Linked DNA regions of Saccharomyces cerevisiae S288C. The protein of the gene in region 3 purifies or fractionates together with the protein of the main gene of each other region. This does not show direct contact. Each region holds a gene or a part of one and is shown on either strand. Other genes may lie near its edges.

Region 1 (3,661 bases), on a different chromosome or scaffold from region 3:
AGTCCTAATCAAGGGCTCCAAACTGTCTCTGGGTGAGGCTTTCAAGAAAATTGATGCAATCACAGTCAAAGATGTTAAGGCTTGGGCCGGTAAGAGATTATGGGACCAAGATATTGCTATTGCTGGTACAGGCCAAATTGAAGGGTTATTAGATTACATGAGAATCAGAAGTGACATGTCCATGATGAGATGGTAAGATGTGTGATAATATATTTTCCATGCACATAAAATAGAAATAAGCAAGCTGCTAGATGTATACAGGCACGCTCGCACACTCACACCATAAATGAATTTTTTACATGTATTTTATATTCTAGTAACCCAAGTAGTCTTCATTATTTATTGGCAAGGTCACTGTTCCTTGCAAAAGTAGAAAATAAAAAAAGAAAAAAAAAGAAACTCGTAAGAAAACAAGATTAAATAAACGTCTTATTTTATATAAGTGTATATATATATATATATATATATGTGACCAAGATCCTGAAGAACTATCGATTTTAAAAATAAGAAAGATGAACTTTTTTTTGGTAAAACATATTTAATGATATTATGCAAATGGGAAGTTGTTGGTAGAGAAGTCATCTCTCGATCATCTGGACTTCTTGCCTAATGGACTGCTAATATTCTCACGGTAGGTAATACCAGCAATCGCAACCATCTTATCCTCTTGTGAAGAGCTCATCGATGGACTCACTAATTCGTCACCTGGTAACAGTCCTTCACTTCTACCCTCATGGTTTTCATGAGCATCCTCTTTCTCCTCCTCCTGGCTCGATGAGATCTCATTACTGCCGTCCATGGCATTGAGGAGCGAAGACGATGGCGACTCTATTATGGAGAACCTGCCCGTTGCGGTATGTTTATATTTCTTTGGCGTCGTGAGATCCATGTTTGTGAATGATGGTGATTCGTCATATTCAAAGTTATCTAAATCTGTGGGCTTCCTCTTCCTTGGAGTTTCATTTTTCTTGTCAAAATTTTGCACCTTGGTACTTTCGCCCGCCTGCCTATCTTCGTCATCATCTTCATCGTCATCTGTGCTGCCCATGTGATCATCATCCTCATCATCTTCATCTGCACCATCTTCACGATAATCGTCGTCGTTGTCATCGTCATCTTCATCATCGCTATTATTCTTCGTAACATCGCTCTGACAATTTTGTCCTTTATTATCGCTATTATCATCGTTTATCCCGCAATCATCCTCATAGTATTCTTCCACCATGAAATTTTCATCTTTCAGCAAAACATTACGCTTACTCTTATTCCCCATCTCCCTATCTTCATCACCATCAAAAAATCCTTCCTCTTCATCCTCGTCATCGTAGCCTAGGTTGACACTCATTATAGAGTCGATTTCTCTAATAAAGGGTGCCAACTCCCTAGTATTGTTTTCGGTCATCCACGGTATCTTCATTAGTGAGACATCTTCTTGATTCTTGATGAAGTTAATATCTTTCTCCTTATCGTCCTCTTGCTTCTCACCGTGTGTTTTATCAAAAACCTGCCAACTGCTAGTTACCATGCAACATTTTTCTAGCGCATTTACAAACTTCTCCAATTCATTGATCTTGTAATATTTGAAAGGATCATAACACAATTCGCATATCCGAAGTATTGTGAATGGAAATGTATGATTTTGTAAAAAATTATCATTCAGAAACTTACCCAGCCAATTTAATCTAGTAACGAGATTTCTCGCATCGTTCATTTCATTCTTAAGGTTTATAAATAGGTCAAACGGTATTGTTTCAGTGATATGCCGGATTAAATCAGGCAAAACTTGCTCGGGACCCGCCGTCACCAATCGCGTCTTGTCGCCCTGTTTCACCACATCGCTAAGTAATTCATAAAGGCTGATAGACTTGATACCCATCATATTATTATCCACATCATCCAACATCGTCGAGCTCATAGCTTTTTATTGTGCTTTGACAATCGATGAGAACACCAACAAAAAATGATAATAGGTATTGTTAGCTGTGTCAAAATACATGCTTTTGATCGCGAAATGAAAAACTACACAATCATTACCCGTCGGCGCTTCGGAGGGGGATTAGATTTCTCCTATAATCAAAATCTTCAACTATTACAAACCCCTTTTCAGAAGCACATTGAAAACAACACACAACAGAGCACTTTGTGATAGGCAATAGAGTGCTTTTAAATAGAGAATTACTGGTTCTCGCGAAATAATATAGCGCGTTGAAACTAATAAATAGATTCGTGAAGCTCTAGATCTATCTTTTTTCCTGTTTTTATCTGTGTGTTTTCAATAGGATTCGAACGATATAGGCCATGGCATCTATTACTTTTAGAACTCCATTATCCTCTCAGGAACAAGCCTTTTATAATCAGAAATTTCACCAATTGGATACGGAAGATCTCGGGGTGGTCACTGGCGAGGCAGTCAGACCGCTCTTCGCGTCTTCTGGTCTTCCAGGGCAATTACTATCGCAAGTGTGGGCTACCGTCGATATAGACAATAAAGGGTTTTTGAACTTGAACGAGTTTTCGGCTGCTTTGAGAATGATCGCTCAATTGCAAAATGCTCCCAACCAACCAATTTCCGCTGCCCTATATGAGAGCACACCTACTCAACTGGCTTCTTTTTCTATAAATCAGAACCCAGCCCCTATGCAAAGCGGTAGTGCAACCGGCAATACAAACAACACTGATATTCCTGCCTTATCCTCAAATGATATTGCTAAATTTTCACAACTGTTTGATAGGACAGCAAAGGGTGCTCAAACTGTTGCTGGTGATAAAGCCAAGGATATATTTTTAAAGGCAAGATTACCAAATCAAACTTTAGGTGAAATTTGGGCTCTTTGTGATAGAGACGCATCCGGTGTCTTAGACAAATCTGAGTTTATAATGGCCATGTATTTGATCCAACTATGTATGTCTCATCATCCTAGTATGAACACACCACCGGCCGTGTTGCCTACTCAGCTGTGGGATTCTATTCGTTTAGAACCTGTTGTTGTTAATCAACCAAACAGGACTACTCCTTTGAGTGCTAACTCCACTGGCGTATCTTCACTAACAAGACACTCTACTATATCACGTCTATCTACTGGTGCATTCAGTAATGCTGCTTCAGATTGGTCTTTAAGTTTTGAAAAAAAACAACAGTTTGATGCAATTTTTGATTCATTAGATAAGCAACATGCTGGTTCGCTAAGCTCTGCTGTGTTGGTTCCATTCTTCTTATCCTCTAGATTAAACCAAGAGACGTTAGCCACCATCTGGGACTTAGCTGACATCCACAACAATGCTGAATTCACCAAATTGGAATTTGCTATTGCCATGTTCTTAATTCAAAAAAAGAATGCTGGTGTCGAATTACCGGATGTTATCCCCAATGAATTATTACAGTCCCCCGCTTTAGGACTTTATCCGCCAAACCCACTTCCTCAACAACAAAGTGCACCTCAAATTGCCATCCCCTCAAGAGCAAGTAAGCCTTCTTTACAGGATATGCCACACCAAGTTTCTGCCCCAGCAGTTAATACTCAACCAACAGTTCCACAAGTTCTTCCTCAAAACTCAAATAACGGTTCTTTGAATGATTTACTGGCTTTGAACCCTTCATTCAGCTCTCCTTCTCCCACTAAAGCACAAACTGTGGTTCAAAACAACACAAATAATAGTTTTT
Region 2 (2,802 bases), on a different chromosome or scaffold from region 3:
TAGAGGAGTATTTAGTGGCCAGCGAAGAGACCATTTTACGTAAAGAGGACAGTGCCTATGCATTTTTGACCGATTCAGGGCTAGTTGGTAAGCATTATCCCGTTGTTGAAGCAAACTCTGACTACAATTTGTGCCATTTTTGGTCGAATTTTGAGATTGGCGACTTGAATTTCTTCAGAAGTGACGAATATAAGCATTTTTTTGAAACTTTAGATGCCAAGGGCGGATTTTACTACGAAAGGTGGGGTGACGCACCTGTACATTCAATTGGTGTCTCCCTACTGCTGAGACCTGACGAAATCATTCATTTTGACGAACTTGGCTATTTTCACTCACCGTTTGGCACCTGTCCAGCATCTTACGCTGTTAGGCTCGATCAGAGGTGTAGATGCAAAAGCGATGATGAAAGTGTCATAGATATAACCCCACATAGTTGTTTGATGAGATGGTGGAAAAACGGTAGCGGCAAATATTTCTTAAAAGAAGAGCAAGACGAGATTTAAAATCCTGTCCTTTTTCCTGTTAAATAGGCCTAACTTCCACAGGGTGAAAATTCATTACTAGTTACACACACGTATACATACAGTTATTAATAGAGTGTTTCTAGGTTTGACAATTCCTTTAGTATCCTTTCCAACTCATCGTCTGATATTTTATTGTTTAAGCTTGGAATTAAAGTCTTTGCTTCATCAGCTGTGTCACAGGCCAAAGAACCTAGTTGCGCCACTTCAAAAGGATGTAACCCAGTGCTTTTCAGAAGCTGTATAACTGCCCCGACGGTTTCTTGGTCTCTAAATCGGGAGAAATTTGTTAAATACTGCATGGTATTTTTCAAATCTTTATTATTTCCTCCCGTTGTCTGTTCTAACAGAACGTCGATAGACTCCAACTCCTTCTCCCTAGTTTCAGAATGCATAAAATCATCATCATCAGCGTTGACGTCATCTTCATCCAGATCATCATCTTCATCCTCTACTGCCGTAGTTTCATCATTGGCGTTTTCGTGCTTCAAATGCTTCTTCTTGTGTTTTTTTTGCGATCTTTTAAATGCTCTCCTACGTTCTACAAGAGCTTCTTTGATTACTAACCTGGCTTCACTTAGGTTCAAGGCAATCAATTCCTCCTCTTCACCCTGATGATTTATCTGTTTCAGCTGGAATTCCTGGCCCAGTTGTAGAGTAGCTGCATTTTCTTCTTCCTCCACTTTCTTCAATCTTCTCCGTCTTGTTTGAAAGGTTGATGTAGAAACATTCATTTTTCTATATTCTTATATATATATTTTCAATACGGATGAATATTTGTGTACTTTCGCCCTCAAACTCAACTTATTAAGATGCAGCAACCCATTCAAGTCTCTTTCTTTACTTTTGTCTCACCGTTAAGCATGTACGTATGTGTGTAGGTATGTTTAATAGCTACCTTGCAAAAAGTTTGAAGAATGACAATATCACTATTGTCGCGTTGCACGTAAATGACACCTAAAAAGGATTTAGGATTTGGAGAAAAAAACTAAAAAAAATATAAAAGGCCTAATAAAAATATCAAAATAGCGCGATGGCTTTATTAACCCTAACCGCCCCTTCTGAACCATTGCAAGCAATGCCCCCTCCTCAGATTTACCCCTTCTGGGCTGAACAATGAATGAGTCGCAATGCTAAACAGATATAAGGAAACAATTGGTGGGCCATTACTGGGGGTATTACACAAATTTCTCACTATTAGATTTGGGAATATATCGAAAGAAGAATTTTGGTGAAGAGCAACAGCCATTGTGCAAGGGAACATAATTTCGTTATCTTTTTTTCACATGCTAATTTGAGCAATCATGAACTCATCCAATAATAACGACTCGTCCAGCTCCAATAGCAACATGAATAACTCCTTGAGCCCGACCCTTGTGACCCACAGTGATGCTAGTATGGGCTCGGGTAGAGCAAGCCCAGACAATAGCCATATGGGGAGAGGTATATGGAATCCATCGTACGTAAATCAAGGCTCTCAAAGGTCTCCACAGCAGCAGCATCAGAATCATCACCAGCAGCAGCAGCAGCAGCAACAACAACAACAACAGAATTCTCAATTTTGCTTTGTTAACCCTTGGAATGAGGAAAAAGTAACTAATTCTCAACAAAACCTGGTGTATCCCCCTCAATACGATGACTTAAACAGTAACGAAAGTCTAGATGCGTACAGACGACGTAAATCTAGTCTCGTTGTACCTCCAGCCAGGGCACCTGCCCCAAATCCTTTCCAGTACGATAGTTATCCCGCTTACACCAGCTCTAATACGAGTTTGGCAGGAAATAGCAGTGGCCAGTATCCTTCTGGCTATCAACAACAACAACAGCAAGTATACCAGCAGGGCGCTATCCATCCTTCCCAATTTGGATCCAGATTTGTTCCCTCCCTTTATGATCGTCAAGATTTCCAAAGAAGGCAGAGTCTGGCTGCAACTAATTATTCGTCCAATTTTTCTTCCCTAAATTCAAATACTAATCAAGGAACAAACTCCATACCAGTCATGTCACCTTACAGGAGGCTTAGCGCATATCCTCCTAGTACAAGTCCCCCACTACAACCCCCTTTCAAGCAGTTACGAAGAGATGAAGTACAAGGTCAGAAATTGTCCATTCCTCAGATGCAACTTTGCAACTCTAAAAACGATCTTCAACCTGTCTTAAATGCTACTCCAAAGTTTAGACGTGCGTCGCTCAATTCCAAGACGATATCTCCCCTAGTCAGTGTCACGAAAAGCCTGATTACCACATATTCTTTATGTTCTCCAGAATTTACCTACCAAAC
Region 3 (5,231 bases):
TGACAACTTTGATCTCTTTGGTGGTGGCAGTGCAGGGATTACATTTCGACATTGCAGCATCTACAGATCCAGAACAGGTTTGTATTCGTGATTTTGTCACTGAAGGTCAATTGGTTGTCGCGGATATTCACTCAGATGGTTCTGTTGGTGATGGACAGAAACTAAACCTCTTCGTGCGTGATTCAGTTGGAAACGAGTATCGTAGAAAGAGGGACTTTGCAGGCGACGTTCGTGTTGCGTTTACTGCTCCATCCTCCACGGCATTCGACGTTTGTTTTGAAAATCAGGCTCAGTATCGTGGCCGTTCTTTAAGCAGGGCCATTGAATTGGACATTGAGAGTGGTGCTGAAGCTCGTGACTGGAACAAGATCAGTGCCAACGAAAAATTGAAACCTATAGAAGTGGAGTTGCGTAGAGTGGAGGAAATTACCGACGAAATTGTCGACGAATTGACTTACTTGAAAAACAGAGAGGAGAGATTAAGAGACACCAATGAATCTACCAACAGAAGGGTAAGAAATTTCTCAATTTTGGTTATTATTGTCTTGTCCTCGCTGGGTGTTTGGCAAGTCAACTATTTGAAGAACTACTTCAAAACGAAACATATCATTTAAGCAAAGGAAGAGGACCACACCATGCATTTGTGTATCAGCTTACCCTATAATTGCATATGTACTCGACTATTTTCTACATATATATGAATAGATTCCAGAACCGAATAAAGGAGAAAAAATATTTGAATATGGATTTGTTCGCTTCACATCTTTAAGTAACCTAGTTTTCCCAATACGCAACCAAAGTCCAAGTATGTCATGAAAAGCCTCTTGCCATCAGTAGCACAACTAATCATTTCAATGGTCCCAGAACTTTGGTCAGCCCCGATGAGATTGGAGATTTTTTGAAGGTCTTTTACGCTTAATACATGATCTCTTAAGGCCACTTGCGGGAAATCCACGTCTCTGCCACAGTTTCTAATAAGCATCGACCATAAATCATCTATTACTGTTAAATTATTCATCAGTATCAGTAACTGGCATGTGCATCGTACCAGTTTCGTGAAATCTATTACGTCAGTTCCTTCTATAATGACGTCTTCATTTCTCACCAGTTTCCAAATTGTGGGCTCTAGTTGCAAATCCTTGAAGAACCTTGGTAGTTCATTAACGGTCATATCATGGTCCAGACTGGATTCCGCATATTTTTCCAGAATTTCATCTTCAACTTCGATAGGTACTTTCGGGTTCTCGAATAGCTCTACTCTTTCATAACTAACGTTAGTGGATTTGCTCATTGAAAAAAAACTCGGAAGGTATTTAGGTGACCTTGCGGCTTCTTAATGCTGACACCTGCATGCGTAATTGTTATTATATATATATATGATAGTATATTTCATACTTGTTCCTTCTAAAGGTGACCCGCCTGATATGCGACATAGAAAAAAATTTGGATGAACATGTTCAAAGATTGGTAGCATTGACAAGAACCATTCATACAAGTAGGTAACAGCAGAAGGAAAGAGGAACGGGTGTTGTGATAATTATGAGTGACAACTCGGACACAAACGTGAGCATGCAGGACCATGATCAACAATTTGCTGATCCCGTAGTGGTTCCGCAGTCAACTGACACTAAAGATGAAAATACTAGTGACAAAGATACTGTTGATAGTGGCAATGTGACCACAACGGAAAGTACAGAACGTGCAGAAAGTACAAGCAATATTCCCCCTTTAGATGGGGAAGAAAAAGAAGCAAAATCTGAGCCACAGCAACCTGAGGATAATGCAGAAACGGCGGCCACAGAGCAGGTTTCATCTAGTAACGGGCCTGCTACAGATGATGCCCAAGCAACTTTGAATACGGATTCATCCGAAGCAAATGAAATTGTCAAGAAGGAAGAGGGCTCTGATGAAAGGAAGAGACCTCGCGAAGAGGACACCAAAAACAGTGATGGTGATACCAAAGATGAGGGCGATAACAAAGATGAAGACGATGATGAAGACGACGATGACGATGATGATGATGAGGACGATGACGATGAAGCCCCAACTAAAAGGCGTCGTCAGGAGAGGAACAGATTCTTGGATATTGAAGCTGAGGTTAGTGATGATGAAGATGAAGATGAAGATGAAGAGGATTCAGAGTTGGTTCGTGAAGGTTTCATTACCCATGGTGATGATGAAGATGACGAAGCAAGTGCTCCAGGCGCAAGAAGAGACGATAGATTACATAGACAACTGGACCAAGATTTGAACAAGACTTCAGAAGAAGACGCTCAAAGGTTAGCGAAAGAATTAAGGGAGCGTTACGGTAGAAGCAGCTCCAAGCAATACCGTGCTGCTGCTCAAGATGGTTACGTGCCCCAGAGGTTTCTCCTACCAAGTGTTGATACAGCTACCATTTGGGGTGTGCGCTGCAGACCAGGTAAAGAAAAGGAATTGATTCGTAAGTTATTAAAAAAAAAATTCAATTTGGATAGGGCGATGGGTAAGAAAAAACTGAAAATTTTATCCATTTTCCAAAGGGATAATTACACAGGAAGAATCTATATCGAAGCCCCTAAGCAATCCGTTATTGAAAAATTTTGTAATGGTGTTCCAGATATTTATATTTCTCAAAAATTGCTAATTCCTGTCCAAGAATTACCTCTATTACTAAAACCAAACAAATCTGATGATGTTGCTTTGGAAGAAGGTAGCTACGTTCGTATTAAGAGAGGGATCTATAAGGGTGACTTAGCTATGGTCGACCAAATTAGTGAGAATAATTTAGAAGTTATGCTGAAAATTGTTCCTCGTCTGGATTATGGTAAATTCGACGAAATTGATCCAACAACACAGCAACGTAAATCCAGAAGACCAACTTTTGCTCATAGAGCACCACCGCAATTATTTAATCCAACAATGGCTCTAAGATTAGACCAAGCTAACCTGTACAAAAGGGATGATCGCCACTTTACTTATAAGAATGAAGATTATATCGATGGTTATCTGTATAAGTCCTTCAGAATTCAACATGTGGAAACCAAAAATATTCAGCCAACTGTGGAGGAATTGGCAAGATTCGGTTCCAAAGAGGGCGCGGTAGATCTAACATCAGTTTCACAATCAATCAAGAAGGCTCAAGCTGCAAAGGTCACTTTCCAGCCAGGTGATCGTATCGAAGTTCTAAATGGTGAACAACGTGGTTCCAAGGGTATTGTAACAAGAACCACGAAAGATATTGCTACTATCAAACTAAATGGCTTTACAACGCCTCTAGAATTTCCTATCTCTACTCTGAGGAAAATTTTCGAACCTGGTGATCACGTTACTGTCATCAATGGTGAACATCAAGGTGATGCTGGTTTAGTTCTTATGGTAGAGCAAGGTCAAGTGACATTTATGTCAACTCAAACAAGCAGAGAAGTTACCATTACAGCAAATAATCTGTCCAAATCCATCGACACTACAGCTACATCAAGTGAATATGCGCTACATGACATAGTCGAATTGAGTGCTAAAAATGTTGCTTGTATTATTCAAGCTGGCCACGATATCTTCAAGGTTATTGATGAAACTGGTAAAGTGTCGACAATTACGAAGGGGTCTATCTTGAGTAAAATAAATACTGCTCGTGCACGCGTTTCTAGTGTCGATGCAAATGGTAATGAAATCAAAATTGGTGATACCATAGTAGAGAAAGTAGGTTCACGCAGAGAAGGTCAGGTCCTGTACATACAAACACAACAAATTTTTGTTGTTTCAAAGAAGATTGTTGAAAATGCAGGGGTTTTTGTTGTTAACCCTAGTAACGTTGAGGCCGTGGCATCCAAGGACAATATGTTAAGTAACAAAATGGATCTAAGTAAAATGAATCCAGAAATCATTTCTAAAATGGGACCTCCATCATCTAAGACATTCCAACAACCCATCCAGTCCAGAGGAGGTCGTGAAGTTGCACTCGGCAAAACAGTAAGAATTCGTTCTGCTGGTTACAAGGGTCAATTAGGTATTGTGAAAGATGTGAATGGTGATAAAGCTACTGTCGAATTACACTCGAAGAACAAACACATTACAATTGACAAGCATAAGTTAACATATTACAACCGTGAGGGAGGTGAAGGTATCACGTATGATGAATTGGTTAATAGACGTGGTAGAGTTCCACAGGCCAGAATGGGCCCAAGTTACGTCAGTGCCCCAAGAAACATGGCCACTGGCGGTATTGCAGCAGGTGCTGCGGCTACCTCTTCTGGTCTTAGCGGTGGTATGACACCAGGATGGAGCTCCTTCGATGGTGGCAAAACACCAGCTGTAAATGCGCATGGAGGCTCAGGTGGTGGCGGTGTCTCCTCATGGGGTGGTGCTTCCACTTGGGGTGGCCAAGGTAATGGAGGTGCATCCGCTTGGGGCGGTGCTGGCGGCGGTGCCTCAGCTTGGGGCGGCCAAGGTACTGGTGCTACTTCTACTTGGGGTGGTGCTTCAGCCTGGGGTAACAAATCAAGTTGGGGCGGTGCATCCACTTGGGCGTCGGGTGGTGAATCTAATGGTGCCATGTCTACTTGGGGTGGTACCGGTGATAGGTCAGCCTACGGCGGGGCTTCCACCTGGGGAGGAAATAACAATAATAAAAGTACAAGAGATGGCGGAGCTTCTGCATGGGGTAACCAAGACGATGGAAATAGGTCTGCTTGGAACAACCAAGGAAATAAGTCAAACTATGGTGGTAACAGTACATGGGGAGGTCATTAATCACCAAAAGGAGAACCAATATCACCCAAGAAGAAATCAATAAAAAAGACTTTAATATTACCACGTTAATAAGAATAGTTATGAAGATTTCGATGTTTCGATGAAATACTGAATCTCGATCTTTTTTTTTCATTTATGCTTGCATTTGTATGTCACGAGTTTTCCTTGATTCTAACTTTTACATATACGTATGTATGTATGTATGCATATGTGTTTTTGCATATCTAAATGAAATATCAACTTTATTATGAGGGAGTTGATTATTGTAATGTAATTTTATATAACTTCTTTTTCGTTAGCGGAATTTCTTTCCGTTTGAATCGTATACAAAATGTATGTATCCATTACTTATTTACAGGATAAATGAAAAAAAATGCGTAACGTCTGCGTATTCGATGGGCTTACATGCCGGGGCTCGTGCTTATTCATATTTCTTCACTTGGCTGTACGCAAGAAATCCAATGGCTTTCTTTCTGCCACTTTCCTTTTCTTTGCTTCTT

Evidence for each region. The genes of interacting proteins can lie anywhere in the genome.
Region 1: the proteins of SPT5 (region 3) and PSY4 purify together in Saccharomyces cerevisiae (affinity purification with mass spectrometry; 5 studies listed by BioGRID). This does not show direct contact.
Region 2: the proteins of SPT5 (region 3) and RPB4 purify together in Saccharomyces cerevisiae (affinity purification with mass spectrometry; 5 studies listed by BioGRID, with this or other methods). This does not show direct contact.

Annotation. Positions count from the first base shown.
Region 1 is NC_001134.8:130,678-134,338, reverse strand, and holds PSY4 (Psy4p), read right to left. Parts: upstream 1,916-3,661; coding exon 590-1,915; downstream 1-589. Other genes in the region: ubiquinol--cytochrome-c reductase subunit COR1, read left to right, coding at 1-196; EDE1 (Ede1p), read left to right, coding at 2,299-3,661. UniProt on the Saccharomyces cerevisiae protein: Regulatory subunit of the histone H2A phosphatase complex, which dephosphorylates H2AS128ph (gamma-H2A) that has been displaced from sites of DNA lesions in the double-stranded DNA break repair process.
Region 2 is NC_001142.9:149,414-152,215, reverse strand, and holds RPB4 (DNA-directed RNA polymerase II subunit RPB4), read right to left. Parts: upstream 1,256-2,802; coding exon 590-1,255; downstream 1-589. Other genes in the region: mannosyltransferase YUR1, read left to right, coding at 1-503; serine/threonine protein kinase YAK1, read left to right, coding at 1,826-2,802. UniProt on the Saccharomyces cerevisiae protein: DNA-dependent RNA polymerase catalyzes the transcription of DNA into RNA using the four ribonucleoside triphosphates as substrates. Component of RNA polymerase II which synthesizes mRNA precursors and many functional non-coding RNAs.
Region 3 is NC_001145.3:246,138-251,368, forward strand, and holds SPT5 (transcription elongation factor SPT5), read left to right. Parts: upstream 1-1,539; coding exon 1,540-4,731; downstream 4,732-5,231. Other genes in the region: ERV25 (Erv25p), read left to right, coding at 1-614; RAD33 (Rad33p), read right to left, coding at 758-1,291; mitochondrial 54S ribosomal protein bL33m MRPL39, read right to left, coding at 5,167-5,231. UniProt on the Saccharomyces cerevisiae protein: The SPT4-SPT5 complex mediates both activation and inhibition of transcription elongation, and plays a role in pre-mRNA processing.